3 linked regions of the Caenorhabditis elegans genome follow. The protein of the gene in region 3 interacts with the protein of the main gene of each other region in a pairwise test. Each region holds a gene or a part of one and is shown on either strand. Other genes may lie near its edges.

Region 1 (4,481 bases), on a different chromosome or scaffold from region 3:
TCCCCTTCCTTCGACAAGACAGCCACAACAAAATAACAACGGCAACAAGATTATGGGCAAACACGTGGTGCCAGGCTGTCCCATTACAGTTTGATCTACAATAAATGCGGGAATTTTTCGCCCAAAAAAAAAGTGACGTCGGCACGTTCTTAACCATACAAAATCAGTTGAGAACTCTGCGTCTCTTCTCCCGCATTTTTTGTAGATCAACGTAATTCAAGCCAAAATGAGACACTCTGACACCACGTGGGCAGAGTCAACTTCCAAAGGTAGATCAAAAATTAATTATGAAAAAAATTTGCGATCGTATTTTTCGATAATAAGAGCCAACATTTTTCGGCTTTTTATGGAAATTTTTTTTTCAAAAAGAGGAGTATGGTCCATAACTATGCCATCAATACCAAGTCCTTCCAGAACCATCGTATCCATGACCGGAATGTTCGACATGGCCATGCTTCGCCAAATCGACCACGACAAGTATTTCTGCGACGGCCTCCATGTGTTCGAGTGCCCATGCGAGAAGAACAAGGACTTCCCGAATACCGACATCTCGGCTGCCTGCCATCTTTACATGGATGCTCAGCAGGAGATTCAAGACTCGGGAATCTTCGACTCAACAGATGACTTTACATTTGTCGTTCAACCATTCTTCAATGGAATCACAGTTCCACCACTCAAGCCCGACGGAGAAGTCAATCTGGATTGGTTTGCACCGGATTGCTTCCATTTCTCAAAACTAGGCCACGCCAATGTTGCCAAGCACTTGTGGAACAATATCGTTCAACCAGTCGGATCCAAGAACCATCAAGTCAATCTGTCAGATCCTACCATTCCACTAAACTGCCCAGACACCAAGTGCCCATTCTTCAGAACAACTAAGAACAGTGTTGACTGCTCGAAATATATGACTGCCTAGACTGTAGGAAATTGTGTTTGTGTGTGTAATTTGACGTACTTATCGGGTCTGCAATAAAATGTTTTATCGTGTAATCTTTAATTTTTAACGTGTGAGACATAAAAGAAAGAGCACCCTCAATAAAAATATCCACGTGGAGTACACAATATAGCTATCAATAGAGCGAGTAAATATTTTTGCAATAATTATTTATTAGAAGAATGGAGATCAAGGTAAAGGAAGAGATCTTGATTTTGAAAAAAAGATACTGGAAATACTAATTGTTCACGGGATTTCATAGAAGGGGATATATCACGACTTTTTCTTTGAAAAATAAAAACAACATAAAATTATTGCGGCTTCACAATCTGATCATCCGGTATTTCTCCAGATCTTTCCTTTTCCGATTCGATCTTCTTCCACTTGGTACGCCGGTTTTGGAACCAGATTTTCACCTGGAATTTGAGAAATTTCAGCTATGCGTTGAGTGCCGCGTTACGTGCTGCGTTGCGTGCTGCGTTGCGTGCCGCGTTGCGTGCCGCGTTGCGTGCTGCGTTGCGGGCTGCGTTGCGTGCCGCGTTGCGTGCCGCGCTGCGTGCCTACCTGCGTCTCCGTGACATCCAATCGTTTTGCAAGCTCACTTCTGTCACTACTTGACAAATACTTTTTCGCCTCAAACTGCTTCTCCAGTTCGAATACTTGTTTCCCGGAAAATGTCGTCCGCGCCTTCTTTCTCTTTGTTTTTTGACATTTTTCTATAGGAGACTCTTTGGCTTGGTCGAGGCTGGATTCTGAAAAAATATTCTTAACGGCTGATTATTTTTCTACGTGTAGCATTTTTCCGAAATTCATTGAACAAAATTAGTAAATTTCCAAAAAATTTTTTTTCCAAAATTTCGAAAACATTTTAATTTTTTTCAGATTTTCTAATATTTTAAAACAAAAATTGAGAGTAAAGGAAATAAAAATTGTGTCTTGTAATTTTTGTAATTTTTACTCAAAAAAAGGCCAGTGAAATACTATTACAGAAAATACGAATCGATGCACCATGTCAAAAAGAATAGTATTTCACCTCAAATGCACCATGCCCAAAACTAGTCTATTTTTCAACTACAAAACTTCATACACCTAATCCAAAGAAATCAACTTACTGCATCTTCCAAATTCATCAATTTCTCCATTAACAGTTGGTAAGTCAAGTATATCCTTTATCAGGTGACTAGTTCTTCTCTGAGGCTTCACATCAGACGTCAACAGTGCAAAATAGGGTTGAAGTAGTTGGAAGAGCAAGTCAGTTTCCATTTTGCACGAATGAAAAGAACTTCTGAGAGACTTCTCTATACAGTAGGTCTCGAGGTCCCCGCCTTCTCTTCAATCAAATAATTGAAATTCTGGACTCTCGGGGGACTTTTGACGGTTGACGACGACGACAATTTGCCAAAGTGGTCGACAATGATTGCGCAATTGGTGTGGAAAGAAGAAGAAGATGGGTGAGTTCTGAGATGATGACAAAAAGAGCATGAGCCAGCAAATTGAATAAGAGACCGGATTTCGAGAAGGAGGAGGGGGAGAGGAGGATTGGTGGTAAGGGATGATACTTGATGCAATTGAGGGAATGAGTTTCTCATACTTGACTATTAAATACTTTTCTTGAACTTAAATATTTGAATTGAAATTTTGGAGTAGCGGAGGCACATGTGATATTATTGTGCTAATTTGTAATACTTGGACTTTCAAATATAACCTCAATTATTTGAAAAAAACCTTTTGAATAGACCAGCAAGGTTGATCTACAATTTTTCATGGAAATCGAATTAATTTTGTAAGGATGTCTACTGAGTATAAGCTTATTGTTAGGCTTAGGCTTAGGTCTAGACTTAAGGCTACACTTAAATTTAGGCCTAGGCTTAGGCTTAGGCTTAGGCTTAGGCTGAGGCTTAGGCTGAGGCTTAGGCTTATGCTCAGACTTAGGCTTAGGCTTACGCTTAGGCTTAGGCTTAGGCTTAGGTGTTGGCTTCAGAATAAGCTCAGGCGGGGGTGAGGGAAGGGTAGAAAAAAAAGAAAGAGAAATTTCCAGAAATTCACAAAATCCAGAAAAAAACATATCTTTCACAAGTTTATATTTTTATAGCCTAAAAAATTACTTTTAAAATGAGGATATGCAACCCGCACGCAAAAAAACCTTTTTTTTTTTGAGCAATTTCACGGCTCTTTTTTTTTTAATTTAAAAATACAATAAAAAAACCAAAAAAATTTTCCGAGCCCAAATTGCTCCCAAATGCTCTAAATTTCTTTTGAAGTTTGATATATTCCTATTAGAACTTGAGGAAAATGTAAAACTAGAGAAACATAATACTACGCATGTTAAATGTAAATTACTTACTTTTAAAAAGTCGTACGTTATTTTGGAAAGTTTGAGGTTTTTGCATTTTTTCCGTAATATCACTGAACACTTTTATTTAAATATCATCAATTATCGGAAGTTTATAGGTTGCAGGAGAAAAAATATATTCTAGCGGGAAAATGAAATGAGACGGGGGGACATTTTTAACCAAAAAAAAATCAGAAAACAGTTGGTAATAAAATTATTCCAAGAAAGTATAAATTCATGACTTCCATCTTGGGAACATTCTTAAAAAATGTCAACGAATAAATCTTTGTGGCAAACAAACTTTTTCCATAAATGTTTCAGACCTTATATAGCGGACATGAAAGTTGATTGCTTATTTGATATGTCTTGAGTTTATTTTTTTTTATTTCAAGCGAGGGGAGATTTATTTGCCTAGATATATATATAATTATTACTGGAACGAACTGGAAAAAAACTTGGGATCAAAAAAATCAAAAATTCAAATTCAAAAATTCAATTTTTCGAAACTTTTTCTACAGCTTTGTCGAGAAGCAACAGACAAATACTTATAGCTAAAATTTTATTAATATTCTAGTTTTAGTCATGGTGAATCGAGAATTTGTCAATTTCCATGTGGTATCTTAAAAATAAACCGATACACGTGGTGTCAGGCTGTCTCATTGCGGTTTGATCTACGAAAAATGCGGGAATATTTTTCCAGAAAAATTGTGACGTCAGCACGCAAAAATTAATAAGGGTCTAACCAAAAAAACTTGAATCTTGGAAATATTTTTAATTCACCCTAAATTTTCCCCTGATTCCGAATATCTATGTGAAAAAATTCAAAAAAAATTTCCTGAATTTATATTTAAGCTTGAAATCTTTCATAAAAATTTTTTTTTTTTAAATTTCATTTGTACTCGCATCACTTTTTTCAAACTCGCGCCCAAATAAATTAGCGCGCGCGTGCATCGTTTGACTTTTTTTCGTTTAGTTTTTTTTATTTTAGCCGAATTCAATTTTTTTAAAACCAGTTTCATTCATTTTTGTCGGTTTTTTTTTTCTGAAAAAAATGTAAAAAAACGAAAAAAAATCAAACAATGCAAGCGCGCTCCAATGCTAATTTATTTGAGCGCGTATTTAAAAAAGAGACCGGGATACAAATGAAATTCGGCGATTTCAAGCTTAAATATAAAATCTGGCAAACTTGTTTTGAATTTTGAATTTTTTCACATA
Region 2 (6,101 bases), on a different chromosome or scaffold from region 3:
GAATAACACTTTACATTAAAATCTGAGTCTAACAATTATTAAGAAAAAAAATCTGAGTCTAACAATTATTATTATTATATTTAGTTTCATTTAACTTCCAATAACACCATTCTACCAGAGTGCTAGAGTGCTGCTATAGATGTTTGCCTTTATGTAAATGAACTCGATTAATAATGCAAAAAACTTATGGAGGTATGGGGAATTGAACCCCAGCCCTCTCCCATGCTAAGGGAGCGCTCTACCACTGAGCTATACCCCCAGATGACAACAGGTGTCAATTGGATGTTGAGATTCCCGGTAGAACATTCCACGGAATTTAGGTCTTTGCGATTGTCATCAACGACAGGGAAAACTATCGCAAGTCAACATATAGACAGGTTTTTCCGTATAAATTGCATCACAGCGCGCAATAAAGCAAATATAGAAAAGTATCTTTCAAATTGAGTACGAGTTTCTTATTCAATACTGTCATTGGTTGCTGTGTTCCTTCAAAATTTCAACTACACATGTTGTACAAAATAATTATTACAAAAGTAAGAAGATAATAGCATTCTCCGTTAGCCAAGTTGCAATGAAAATTAAATTAAACAGTATGTGCAAATGTTCATAAAAGAATTATAACCAAAAAGCAGTAATTGTAACCACGACGCCTAATATCTTTAAATTAGTTAATTACTGTTAAATGAAATTGGTTATATGATATCATTTAAAACAAAACTTGTTCTACACAGAAAACAAAAAAAATGTTTTCAAAATATTTGCCTCGTTATTCCAATTTTACATTTAAAAAATCAGATAATTATTTGATATTTATTTTCCTGACTTTAGAAAAACTTACTATTAAAACACTATCTAATTGAAAAAAAAACTATTGATTAGAAAAATAGTATGACTGATCAGATCGATGTTTCTTTTACATACTGGGGACCGTTTTTACTGTTTCAATACGTTTTATGAAAGAACTGCCTTAGCCCTTTCCAGATCGAAGTAAATTATTTTTTATTGAATCACATTGTGAGTATCGGTAATAATAGAACTGGAACTTATGCTTTGAGATCGGAAGATAAACAATTATCACGCTCAATTAGTTGTGTGACGAGGTGATTCACTTGAGGATACAGTGATCGGTTGAGCTGCTGATCCAGAAGGTTGGAATGAGGGGTAAAATCCGTTGAAGAAAGTGTCAAATGGAGTTTTACGAGGCGGGGATCCAGAATCTCGACGATTTCGCTTGTGCTGCACATCTGACATAAATTTGGTGAGCATTATGATTTGACAAAAAAAAACCAACTTTCTGGAAGCATTCCAATTTCCAGACATCGTTTCATTCGACAACTCCGACAAATCTTCCGATACCCAGTTCCATCGCGGCTTGCATTATTGCACCGTTGGTTCCTCTTACAGACATATCGTTTGTCATCGCTGATAGTTCTTCTGAAATTTTATGATGGGGTTTTTTAACTTAACAGTTTTCTGTGTAGCACACAGGCTTTATTGAGTCATACTGGTTTGAACTGAAGCATTGACAACGAAATAAAATTAAACAGTGTGTTTTAACATTTACAAGCATTCAAAACATCAAAACAAATCATCATCAAAAATGTAGTAGCGATAATTGTTTTAATATGATACTTTGAAAAAAGTTATAAGATGGTTTAAAGTCAGAAAAAAGTAATCCTTAAAGCTGCGAATATTACAAAAATTTTTGACGCGCTTGACAAATTGATTTTTGTTTCAATTCTGTTCATTTAACTACAAAACAATTAAAATTAACCTTCAATCGCTGCGACACGCAAAGTTTTTAAATCAAAGATTTCAGCTAAGCTTATCTAATATTTTAAAAAACCGTAAAATGTTTTTTTTTGAGACGTTTTCTAGAGTTCTCAAGTCTCAAACAGCAAAAGGCCATCTAAATACACTTGCATTATGAGCTTTCTTACCTGAAAAACGCAGCACATGCGGCGCATGTACGGGCTCCAAAGTGAAGCCCGTTAGCATGAGTTGACAAACACACTTGACAGTCATGCAAAGCACCCGGTGGCTGAAACTCCATTCTCTTTCCGCTAGCATCAAATTTTCTGTAATCAATGTGCCCGTCGATTGGTGGCTGAAATTTTTGGTGTTTAGATTTTGTTAATTGTGAAGAGATTACAGTTCTCATTTCTTGCTTGAAGTTTGTGCCCATGTCAAGTGGTGCCGGATAGAATTGTGGATGAAAAGGTAAAACGTCTTCTCGCATTCTAAACTTATCAGTTGATATTTTACAACTGTCTTTAAAAGTCGATCTACCTGGGCTGCTCAAATGATTTCTCCGCTAATAATGGAGGTGGAAATGTAAATTGTTGCGGTTGTTGTAGCTGTTGGTCTGATTTTTTGAGATTTTTTAGAGTTGAATCGTCTGAAGACTCCTGTTTAGGAACTGCTGTGAAATCTACATTTGCGTCAAATTTCAGTTCAGAATCGTATTTAACAGGGTATTCCACAGACAACACTGGTGGCTTATCCTGGATGTTTTCCGAACTGTGTTTGATTGTACTTTGAACCGTGTTTTCAATGTCCTTAGGTTTTGTAGAGTTTGTATTTGTTGAAAACGGGTGAGGAGCATGTGTCAAATTGAAACCATCCATGGTAGTCATTGAATTGTGCAATGGGAACGACTGTGCAAATGCTTGGCCTGTGAACTGAGATCCGAATGGATTAGGGAAGAATGCGTTTCGTTGGAAGCCATTAAAACGCTGGTACTCGGTAAAGTCTGGGAATTGAAGTCCTGAAATTCAAAAAATGAAGATCAGAAAATAAAGAAAAGATATATATCCAGAAACTTTTATCCTGAGCTGGGTAAGTATTTATTAATTTTCCCAAACTTAAAATATGACAGAGATTGCAGCTCTAGTTTGAAGTATTTCAAATGACCGACCATTTGCCGCATTTTCTCAAGAAACACTAGCAGCTTTATAACGAACCATACTATCTCGCAGCTTTTCTCCCAATTGTAGTATCTTTTAAATCATCTCCTACTTTAACCAACTTTACTCAACTTTTCTAAAGTTTGCAGTGGGCATTGCTAAAGTTGCTCAATTTTGGAATGGGCATTGCTAAAGTTGGTAGAGATTTTTCGGCAAATTGGTGAGTACTTTTAGCAATTACTTTTCGTTTTTTTTTTCAAATTATATGTAAACTGAGTGATAATGTACTGATCGATCCCACTTACAAAAAATTTCAGCCATACAATTACGAATTCTTGAAATTTTTTGACTTAAATGGAAATCAATAAAAAACGAATCACAGCCCTAGTTTTGTTCTGACAAACATCTCACCGATTCTTGGAAAGAAATGAGTCATGAACGGAGCCGTTTGTTGATGTGCAGCATCATTATCAAACTCTCCTGGATTTCCATCAGTCTGTTCACCACTTGGCCGGCCACCGAATGCAGGAGGAAAAGGGCCCCATGGCTGTTGAGGAACGTTGTTGTTCGGTTGCTCCAATTTATCCGTCATAGTCTTGATGAGTTCAGTTGAAATTCTAAAGTTTGGAAAAATGCCGGGTATGCATTGAAAGTGTGGAATCAACATTTGACATGCCATACAATATGAACCGTACATCAGTCCATACGAATAAATTAACAATCCCTCAGTGTCCGGTACTATCATTTTTGAAAGGAAATAGCTGTAATATATTGTAAAAAAATGTTGTTATGCCGTTTTCAAAAGAAAGAGTAAAACCAGAAGATGTCAGTGTTATTGAAATAATTTAACAAGACCTCCAGTGTCAATTTGATCAGAATGAACTTTTGTATCCAAATCTCAAAAGTGCATTCCAAAATAGATATCGTTTTAAAGATCTAACTGGTTCCCGATATCTCAAAACGCCGAGAATCTGTTAGATTATGCAAATTGTATCTACCGTAGCTCAATCAGAAACGGATTTTTGTGACAAACAAAATGGCCAAAATTTGTAGTCGAAGATACAAATGGTTTTAACATGTGAGTAAAATTTTTTAATTCGTTTGGTTTAGTTTTCAGAAAAATGATAAAGATTTTTTGAGAATTGAAAAAACACAAAGAATTCAAAGAAGGTTATGAAAAAAACGCTTTGATTTTAAAACAAAAATGAGAATGTTTAGTTTTATAAGGTAACCTTCATTTCCTTTGCTGTTTTAATAATAAATCGTCTTAAATATTACTGTTAACGGTGATGAAATGTATACTTAATAACTAAATCAGGTTTTCTGTTTAATGCTAAAAATGTTTTGTGGAGCATTTTAACACTGTTAGTAAGCTGATTTTGTGCGCGGTACAGGTATAATCATAACAGATCATAATAATTTTTCATGATCAAAAGTTGGATAGAAGAAGGGACGACTCAGAATTTGAGTTTACAAAATCAAAAAATTCTGAGCCATTACTTTACGATTAGGCTTTTTGGAATTAAGGTTGGGATGAGTCTATAAAGTTTGTATTAACCACACAAGTCTTCTAACACTTGGTAGTTTAAGAATTTCTAGCAGAAAATCTAACATCAACCTAGAAAGAGATGAACGAATATAAACTTGTTCGAACCATGAATGTGTCGATTTATATGATCTCGGAAGAAAAATGTAATATTTCGATACATTTTCTTGTATCTTCCTCCCTATTTGGTTACAATCCAGGATGCCATTTTGCAGTACGTATACTTCAATTCTTATAGTCACACAGACAAAAATTGGCATTTACACGGGCGCACAACAACAAGAGCAATCACAATAATTTGTGGACAAACACAAAATGTTGTACGAGCGGGGACGGTAGCGGACAATAAAGACAGAATGTTCAAAACTGACCGGAAGCTGACCAAACTGGATACACAGTTTTAGTATTGATTGGGATGGAAACTGATATTTTGTTATTCAATACAGCGGAAAATAGTGTAGGAGTCAAATTGGTGATAACTCGAAAACAATCGCAGAAGATGTGTGAAGAGGCGTGGCGAGCACCTACCGTAGGAATAAGGGGCTCAGTGAAGGTAACAACGTCATCTGCCAATCATGAAGTTTCTGAAATAAATTATTTCTAAATTTTACACATTGATTGATTAGAAATTATTAGACTTAACAATCGGAGGTGGTTTTTTTCCCGAAACTTGACATCACCAAACATTTCATAGACTACAACTTTGCACAATAAACTTTAATACCAACGTTTTTGAACATATCAGTTATTCTGATTTTTTATATATTTTTACGTGAACATATTTTTTGTCGGTAGTTTTATTTCACTAAATGCCAACAAGATAGTGACGACAACTTGGAAAATCATATTTATTTTTTGATTTAAATCTACAAAAATGTCAAATTTTAAAAATACTTCGAAACTGTTGGGAGACTTCTGGCAGTAATCAAAAAAAATTTAGCACACTGACAAGAAGGGCATCTAAGGTGTGGAATCAAATAAGCTAGTTTAAAATTATTTTTTTATTGCAATTTCGTTTTGAGTACTGTAAAAATTGTTATAAATAAATTTTGCATTTCAAAATATTTGTCAACTTCTGTTTACATCTTTCTGATTGAAAGTTAATATTCTTCAGCCAATATTGACAACCCTGAAGTAAGTTTTTTTAAGTTTACCAATTACTTTATCAATTAAAAAAAGTGCTTTACCGCATATTTTTGAAAGTTTGTATTCCATCTTTCGAAGTTCTATTTATTATAGCCTATAAAAATTAACAGCTTAACTTCAGTTGCCTATCAGTTATTTTCTTCAACAAATAAACAGTCAGAGACTATTTGCGGAAATGTCAAAATGGCGAAAGCTCAGCATTGTCCACATATCCTCGGTAGTTGATTTGAAATGAGAAAATTGTGCAATTGTCTCACCTGCCTGCTTATTATAATAATCCTTTCAATTACACTGGCTAACGCTCAAGATGAGCAGCACTCCCCTAGGTAATTCATTACATAAAATGTAATACATTTATACATTTAACTTTTCGTCAATGTTCTTTTGAACCAATATGTTCATAATTGTTTTCGAATAAATAAATTTTTGAATCTGTTCCAGAGAAAACGAAGCATCTCGTGACAACTCCGACGTTTGGCTCGTTGTAATTCTGTGTCTTTTAT
Region 3 (9,001 bases):
ACAAAATCAATCAAATTAAAATAGTAACGAAGACCCTCTCAACTTTTCTTTCTGAAACAAAACAAGTAATTTATCATTAAAATTTTTTACACCCTGTTAACGCCCAAATGTCTGAAAATATTGTTTGTTTTTGTCATTGAAGTTTTGTGTTTAAGTTTTTAAGTTTATTTGTCACTTTTTCAAGAATTTGTAAAATAATTTTCTGCTTGACATTATCGATAAAATGAAATCGATTTCAGAAAAATCCGAAATCCGTTTTTATTTCCTCGTGATAATTTGTTTCTTTAATTTTTTCAAACTCACAAATTTTTCTGTTAATTTCATAGCTTCAGGTAATTTCAAAAAATGAAGAAAATGTCAATTTCACCAATCCAAGGAGACATTCGACCTGATGTTGAAGAATTAATGGAGATAAAAGAAGAAGAGGAACATGATAAACAAGCTGAACAACAATCAAGTACAACTCCAAAACTTGTACTTATAATCACAATTCCATATGTGATTATTCTTCCATTCTTTTCTAAAAATCTTCATGACTGGTACACCACTTTTCTCTTATGTCTTTTCATCGGCTTCACTCTGGATCTTGTAGCCATTGGAGTTCGATTCTTTTCTGTTTTACGGCCATTATCATCAATTGAAGCAGCTGCACTGACAGCAATGGTACTTTTTTATGCAAAATATATTTGTGAAAAGTATGAATCTCCATTGAGTTATTCCTTATTCTCGTTGTTTTGTTTATTTTTGTTACCCGCATATTACCGATGTTTTTTATTATTGAAGTTTAAGACTTCACATCGAAAAATGTTTAAGAGTATGGTAGAAGATGATTTTTAGATTATTATTATTAATGTATGTAAATGTGAAATAAATTATTTGAAATACAAAATGATCATATTCCAAAAAATCTAAGCTTCCGAAAAACATCACAGGTACAATCGGATTCAAAGAATTTATTAATTTATTAAAGTAATAACTTTTAAGGTTTTTTTCCATTAATGTATATTTGTCGATTTTTTTGTGGAGTTAGAAAAATAGAGGTCAGGGTTTTTGCTACTTTTTGGTCAAAAACGGATTCAATTCTCTGATTTTATTAAACTTTATATGTATGGGCTTGGATAAAATTGAAATTATTTTATTCATTAGTGAAATGAAAGGACAAGAAACGACATTTCAGAGTACGGGGACGGGGGCATAAAAAGATTAAAGTGAATAGGTTAAAAAAGATTCTGATCAACAAATGAAGAAATAAATATTTTTTCGTGATTTTTTTTGCAGTTTTAGAAAAAAGAATAAAGTATTTGGGAAAAAAATGAAAAAATGTACCTATCGATATCATTCAGGGAGAGTTTTTCATAGAGGTCTTTGTGTGTGTTGTTGTTTGAATTTTTGAAAAAAAAATCCATTAAAAAGTACATAAATTTCAAGAAAAGTGTTTCGTCGACATAGATTGGTTGTATCTGAGTGAAGAAGTCCTGGTTACTCAACATTTTTACATATTGGCTGATCAATTCGGGAGAGCCTGTTTGGAATCCATGAGACAAGAGAAGGGGGAATAAATGAGAGGAGATGAGGTATAGATTTGAAAATAAATACAGTTGGGGGATGAAGAAAACTGGGCTGAAAATTTGAAAAGTTGGCGACGGGGTTTTTAGAGTATACACGATTGTAACCGGGGGGATACATGTTGGTTGGACACAAGTGGTTTCATATAAAATGCTGAACGGTGTGGATGAGATTTGAATGAGAAGAAGTAAAGAAATAATATTATAATAAAACAATTTTCAATGAGTGTCAGACAGAGAGACAGAGAGTCAGAGAAAAAGAGAAAAGACATTTCTGGGCGAGGGATTTTTTGGAAGAAGGTTTGAAAGAATTGCAACGGCCCACTGGCGCAAACAAAAATGATATATGAAGCATTAGCTTATGAAGATGATAGGGTGCCTGAAATACATTATTAAATTCATGTTTAAAAATTCATGAAGTCACTTACACATGCGATAAAAGATCAGATTGTACTCCTCGTAGGATCCATTTGAATCCTCGCTGAAGCAGGTTTCAGTGGAGTAGCCGACTCGGAACCGGTAGGCTGATTGGATGAAGGAACCCATAGATAACTCGAAGATATTGTCAAATAGCTGAAATTTGAATAGTTTTCATAGTTTAAAAAGGCGAAACTCACTCTTGTAGAAGTTGGTACCGGTGATTCGCTTTGTTGAGTTCGGCTCAACGGACAAACTTTGTGGTTGAACTCTGTTGAAGGGAACGCTCCGCAGTTGCTCACGACTTTTGAAATTGGAGCTCTATAATTTTTTAAAAGTTTAAAAATTCAAAATTCAAGGTGCCAACTTACTTAATTTCAATTTCAAGAGCAACATCAGGCATATATCTTGACACTGGCACAAAGACATTGAAGATTCCTTTTCGTTTGTTACAACTGCGTTCCACACAGTAACGCTGGTCAAGTGTCACATTCAGTGCAGGGATTCTAATCTCAACTCCAGTTTCAAAAGCCATGTGCTCAAGGTTTGGAGCACGTGCGATGCCATTGGTTCTGTTGGATGGACTCTCTGGATATACTTCATCGCCATTGTCGAGGCCCTGTAATAATGTACAGTGAAGGCTTAGAATTGTTGAATATCTAAGATTATAGTCTCGTGACGGAAATAGATTAAACTTACATGTGTAGCGATGGCTCTACTGTCCTCTACAACGGGCGGCGTATCTGTACAACAATATGTTTTACAAGATGGATTGAAGCATTTTTCAAGTAGTATAGGGGCATCGGGTTGGAATGAGGGCATGAAGTTGGCTGAAAAATCATGAATTTTTGTATGAAGCTCGGAAATTTGGACTAACCTGGTGATATGACAAGATTGGCGAGTTCTCCTTTAGTGGATGGTGTGTTCGTTTCGAAATGTTGGTGATATCCGTAGTTTCGGTTATGCCAATCAAGGACATAAAGAGCTGACATGGCGAGAAGACAAGCGGCCATAATGGAAACCAAGGTGACAACTGTTCCTTGACTAAGTCGGCTTCCACAGGATTGTGCCTGTTTTATGGCACGATGCTTCCTGCTTCTCTTTGGTTGTGACGTGGCATTGGTTGCAGTTGATGTGAGTGAGCATCTTGAGTATGAGAGACTCTTGTTGTCTCCGTTGAGGTTAGATGCCATTGAGCTAGCGAGCTTCTTTCGGACTGCGTATTCATTCAATCGTCTGCTAATCTCGGCAACTTTTTCATCGATCTTACTGTCCAAGTCTCCGGTCATTCTGCAGAGTTGTTGAGTTGCCATTACAGTCTCGTAGAACACTCGTCCCTCATCAATTGTCAAATAATCTCCAATATCTCGTACTGCATCAGGAAGCACAGCTTGAAGCTCTTGTGCAATCAGTCCTGTGCGATGTCTTTGTTGCTCATCAAGTCCCCAGATGTCTGCGACTTCTGGTTTGTAGCGGTAATCGACAACACGGAGTTTCAGAAGGTTTTCAATAGCTTCAGCAGTTTCCCGTTCAGTAATTGCTTCCTTGAGTCGAATATCGGATGGATTGATTATTCGGCCACTCATATAAATGTCCCCAGCTACTGTAAGCTTGGCACTTTCAACCTGATGTTCAGTTCCGACGGAGACAGCTCCCTGTGTATACAGGGCTCCTCCATTTCGTTGCCATCCAATGTCCGTATCTTGTGGCTCGAAGCTTCCTGGATTGGTGGCTCTAACGATGACCTTCTCAGATGCGTATGATTGAATAAGAACTCCATGCTCAGATTCATCAATGCTTGCAAATAACCTGACAACCAAAAGGAAGAATTTTTGCTCCGGGTTTGGACGATTCTTTTGTTTTCTTTGGTTGTTAAGGGTGGTCTCAGAGAAATGGAGACGTGGTACACAAACTTTTGTCATTCTTCGTTCTTGAATTTCAAAGAGCACAGGAGTATGTGTATGTGGTTTACGATCGGCTCGAGATTGGCGAATTGTGATTTCAGACGATGGCATCTCAGCTTTAACTCCACAGAACGAAAGTTTGAAGTCACGAATTGGAACGAGTCGGTTGTTGAAGTTAACGTACTTTGGTGGCATTGTATCGGAAGCTTCCACGTTTACAGAGATCTGAAAATAAAATAATAATACATTTTAAACTCCTATATATCTACATACCTGGAAATGATTTTTCTTCTGGTTCACAAAGCAATTATCATTTGAGTTGTAGTTGAATCCCTTATCAGCAACAACATGTACTTGAAGTTGTTGTAGCGGTTGAGCGTTGATGTCATACAGTGGACTCCACTGTTCTTCTTGAAACTTTGAGAATCTGATTGCCTGTTGCTGACTGTAATTCTCATCTGGAAATCCGTCAATACCAGCAAAGCTTGGAGCGATTCTTGGCGTTTCACACGGGGTGTCAAGTCGGCTTCTCTTACGTGGCATCTCCAAAACAGGGCTTGGCATTCCACTGTCGGCTCCTCCACGAATAATGTTGAAAAGGTTGAGTTGAGCCAGGGTGTTTGTAGGTTGATTGACTGCAGCAGTTCCCGGTTGGCTCCAGAATTGTGGAGCATTCATGTTTTGCATTTGGGCGTGAATCGATGATTGTTGGGGCATCATAAGATTTCCGCCACGTGTCTGCTGATGTTGTTGCTGGCTGAGTTGTTGAGATTGAATATTGTTCATTGTTTGATTTCCGTTATCATTGGCTCCAGCGTATCCGTTAAATTCATTTGGGGAGAACATTGGGTCCGAATGATGTGATGATGATGACGATGAAGAGACATTTCCGCAAGGATCCGTCATTGCTGGAGATTCAGGGAATCGACGGGGCTGAAATTTCACACATTAATTGTATGTTTCAGCACACAATGACGCCATTCTGTCTGTAGTTTTTTTTTCAATACTTCTAGTTATTTAACCAAAATTACTTCTTATGTCCATATCTGCCGATTTAAACCCTATAAAACCCCTGTCTCTAGACACTTTTGGAAAAAGGGAAATCGGTTCTCAAGGTTATCTCTTGTTCTTCATCTTATTCTTGTTCAAGGCTTCGCCTCTTCACCACAATCTTTTCTATCAATTAGTGAATTACGTAACATAGAAGAATTAGAACATTTGTTCCGTTTTTTCTTATCCCGAAGAGATATTTCATCAAATGAAAAGAATAAGAAACTAACCTGAAAAATGCCATTTTGGTTTTGTCGTTGCTGTGCTTGCAGCATTTGTTGCTGTTGCTGTTGAACTCCTAGATTTTGATGCATGCTATCTGCTGAAGACGTAGGGGACACCATTGAGCCATCGTCTTCGTCAGTATCTTGAGTTAAGTACTGCATCATGTTAAAGTGCTCCGAGTTGAGCCCGTCAAACTCGCCTGAAATTTGTTTTTATTTTTAATCAAATTTATTTTGTAAATGTTTTTTAAAAAAGTCTAAATAATCATCCTAAATTAATTTTTTTAAGTTAAAGCCACAAGAAGGAACATTGGGTCTACGTACTTACGCCTTTCTGCCTACATGCCTACAAGCATACACAAACTGTTTTATTATCAAAATAAAGGAGGAACATTTTGCACCAATAAAACCAGTTGGCAGTTTTTGATAAAACTAAAGACAACCGAGATATAAGCTGTCAAAGTGGAAATATGGAAATACGAATTGCATATTTTAAAATGGAACATTTAAAATCTGAAATAACTTTTTTTCGCAAAAATAATATTTTTAGACACAAAAATGTTTGCTTTGCCAGCATCTACATCGACGTTCCTTCTTTCAAGAAAAAAAAACCAAAACGAGCTTCCGTGATTGTGGGTCGAGAGAAAAAAGAAACACAATGAGGAAAGGAGCGAATCTGGGCGCGTGAAAAGATGCACTTTTTCAAGGGAAGCGTGTAAGTAGATAGGCGAACGAGACGAGTGATCATATAGGACATTGAGACGCAGACATGATGATTGAGGCAAGAAGATAGGAATCAGAAAGTGAGTGGTCACTTCATGGCTTGCCGCCGGACACCACGGCATGTTTTGAAATTGTCTGTGTGTGTGTGTGTGATGGTGACCTAGACCTAGACACCTAGACTAGGTAGAGTAAGTGCAAGGTACAGTAACCTTCTTGATATGTAACCTGCAGATCAGATGTGGGATTACAGTAGTAATTTCTGAATGAGCTTCAATAATTCAGTAGAGATTTTGTGAATCGTTGAAAAACAGTTTTCCAAAATATTAAATTTTGTCATTTTACTTTTAGTTGCAGGGTTACTGTAGTAAACTTCATAATTTCAAAATCGATATTGAAATGCAAATATATGTTTGAAAATAAATGATAACTCGATTTTATTTTTAAAAAAAAGTTTAGTAGTAAATCTTCAAGGATTGCACTCCACTACTTTAAAAGGATTTATCTTAATTCATTTTAAAGATATCCAGAAATAATTAATTCAAAAAGATAAAAAAAGACCTAAAAATTATTTTGTCAGTTGACAATTGTTTGATAGAACAAACGATAACTGAAAAGTAAGCCCTCAAAGTTGAAAAATGAGGTTGCAAAAATGTTCAGGTTTTTTAATTGTCCTAGAACACCGTCAAAACCTATTTTTTTTTAATATGTCTTACCTTTCAGAAGGTCCGAGCTCGACATGTTCGAAGTGTGCTAAAGTATCGGTTCTTTGGTATTGGGTATGTGGGAGGGCTTCTGTAAGCATAACAATTCGGAAATGAGCCATGACAAAAATAAAATATGTTGAAGTTCAAGATGGGTTAAATTTACGAACATCTAGATCATATTAAAGATGAAAAAGTCAAAAAAGTAGGTTAGCAGGGTAGTAGACACACACACGCGGAGCAAGATGGCCTCCACGGCTGCTGCAGCGTCAGCAAAAAAAACGCTCAGTCTGTGTCTGTGTCTGTGTCGGCCTCGTACTCCGCTCTCGTCCCGAGAAGCGAGAGAACCCCGAGAAATAGTGTGAACAGCGGAGAGACTGCAGGCGAGGGTGTTAGGTGGGGGGTCGGCACCCGGCCGAGTCCAGCCTGGCACCGCTAGCCACGCCAACCTGTCTGCGTCTCCGAGGCGGAGAGATCGGGAGAAAAATGGAAGAGAAAGAGCGCTCGTTTTTTTTATGTTTCCACTGCCTGGCCTGCGTTGAGCGCGCGGCAGTTGAGGAGGAAGAGGCGAATTGGAAAAAAGTGGGGAAAATGGGAGGAAACGAATGCCACCCTCTGGTTTTTGCGTATGAGCAAACATGGTATCAGACCTACACACAGAGGCGAACGCGCCAAGCTTTGGATTTTTTAGAACTGAAGGTAACTGGGGTACAAGGAAAATTTGGGCAGCTTTGGTTTCTTTTTTTTTGGCAATTTTGGTTTTGTCGGGAAATCAAGAAGTACGATTTTCTATAGGATCATGAATAATAGAAAAATATTTGGATTCTGGGAGAGATAGTTGTCAGGCAAATAAAGGGTGCAAACTTTTTGGAATTTCTGCGTAAATTGATATCGGAAAAATTCCAATAGACTTTTTTATTACACCTGGTATCAAATCTAAAACTTTAAAAAAACCTTAAGTTTTAGTTATTTCAATTTCTGAAACTATCCAAAAACTTTTTTAAAACGTTTTTAAACTTTATTCTTTCATCAACAAAACACAGCTTTAATTTTTTGGAATTTAAAATTAGTTTGAAATGCCCAGAATTTTGTTTTTGCCACCGCTGGTCATCAGAACCAGCTGTGTAACCATATAATACTCTCAAAAACTATATGATTCGCATCTACACTGACACCATTTTCAGATGTGCATCAAATTTATTAAAAAAGTGTTTACAAGTTTGGGAAATCGGAACGAGAAGGGGGAGGGGAACGGAGAGAAAAACGAACATTTTGAAAAATGACCAGCACCTGCTGACACCTCACATTGAAACTGATAAGGTTGATAAAGGGTCAGTGGAATGGTTGACTGATGAATTGAGGTGCTGTGAGCTTTGATTAAAGTTTTTCAATGTATGGAAGTTGTCATTTAATTTTAAAAAAATACTTGAAAAGGGGAAAAGTTAAGTAATAGTAATAGATTTGAAAAATTTAGATAAAAATTAAAAAGTATATGAATATTTGGTAGGACATTCAAAATAGATTTTTCAACTATCAAATCTCTATTAAACCTCCAAAAAAGTATTAGATTTTTTTTATTTCGAATAAATTCAGGCAACCAAAATATGCACATCTGTAATTGATGCCAGCTTGAACAAAACTTATATCTATGTATATATTTACTTAATGTACAATAAACAACAGCTGAAACATTTGGTGCATAGCGGAAAAAAAAAGTTTGAACAAATTTCGCAATTCCTAACAAAGGCGGGGTGTCCGGTACCAGGCACACCAGCCATTAAACTTTTGAAATGAGCAATTACAATAGATAAATGATAGGTGATTACGGTAGGGACAATGAATTTACAAAATTGGTATTGATATATTGGTATAGTTTATATGTCAGCCTATAAAATTTGGGTTATGATGGTGTGTGATAGCAGCCATTATTTTAAAGATAGAGCTAGTGGAGGGGATATTGTCTATATAATGTTGATTTTTTTTCAAATTGTAACATTTTCAGTCATAGTTTTGGTAAATTACCGAACAATAAAAATGCTTATATTTCGAGAAAATTAGAGCAATTCTTATGTTTTAAATGCTCGCATACGAATTTTTGATATAATTATAATTCGAATATGCAAAAAAGTATCAAAAAAAATTATAGAGAAATTTTTCTATGATATTTGGTCGCATTGGTTTTAAACAGAATCCTAAGTGGTTACTCCCCCTTTAAATTTTATTTTGAAATTAAAACTGAAAATTCTTCAGAGTGACTCATCTAACCATTTCAAAAACATTTTTTTTTAAAGGCCAAAAAACAGCAAAATCCCGTACCAACTCGTAAACCAACAATGACCTTTCTTGACCTACAATCCTCTGTCTCCTCTTCCCCCAATTGTCTTCCATATTTCTCTATGTCTCTAATACCTGTAGCG

What was found.
Region 1: the proteins of myrf-1 (region 3) and ceh-9 interact in a two-hybrid assay, tested with the Caenorhabditis elegans proteins (one large-scale study listed by BioGRID).
Region 2: the proteins of myrf-1 (region 3) and odr-7 interact in a two-hybrid assay, tested with the Caenorhabditis elegans proteins (one large-scale study listed by BioGRID).

Annotation. Positions count from the first base shown.
Region 1 is NC_003279.8:564,195-568,675, forward strand, and holds ceh-9 (Homeobox protein ceh-9), read right to left. Parts: upstream 2,395-4,481; 5' UTR 2,198-2,394; coding exon 2,047-2,197; intron 1,687-2,046; coding exon 1,499-1,686; intron 1,351-1,498; coding exon 1,246-1,350; 3' UTR 1,090-1,245; downstream 1-1,089. Other genes in the region: Y65B4BR.1 (Lipase_GDSL domain-containing protein), read left to right, coding at 415-916.
Region 2 is NC_003284.9:12,457,989-12,464,089, forward strand, and holds odr-7 (Nuclear hormone receptor family member odr-7), read right to left. Parts: upstream 3,670-6,101; 5' UTR 3,652-3,669; coding exon 3,318-3,651; intron 2,768-3,317; coding exon 2,290-2,767; intron 2,241-2,289; coding exon 2,153-2,240; intron 2,108-2,152; coding exon 1,941-2,107; intron 1,435-1,940; coding exon 1,292-1,434; intron 1,245-1,291; coding exon 1,081-1,244; 3' UTR 991-1,080; downstream 1-990. Other genes in the region: T18D3.5 (uncharacterized protein), read left to right, coding at 5,830-5,924, 6,040-6,101. UniProt on the Caenorhabditis elegans protein: Required for the function of one pair of chemosensory neurons called AWA neurons that are involved in chemotaxis to volatile odorants. Acts in a pathway that specifies olfactory neuronal fate.
Region 3 is NC_003280.10:10,495,867-10,504,867, forward strand, and holds myrf-1 (Myelin regulatory factor homolog 1, N-terminal), read right to left. Parts: upstream 6,676-9,001; 5' UTR 6,622-6,675; coding exon 6,597-6,621; intron 5,361-6,596; coding exon 5,167-5,360; intron 4,820-5,166; coding exon 4,160-4,819; intron 4,112-4,159; coding exon 2,860-4,111; intron 2,813-2,859; coding exon 2,682-2,812; intron 2,602-2,681; coding exon 2,354-2,601; intron 2,304-2,353; coding exon 2,183-2,303; intron 2,139-2,182; coding exon 1,994-2,138; intron 1,945-1,993; coding exon 1,925-1,944; 3' UTR 1,121-1,924; downstream 1-1,120. Other genes in the region: ZK666.12 (uncharacterized protein), read left to right, coding at 346-837.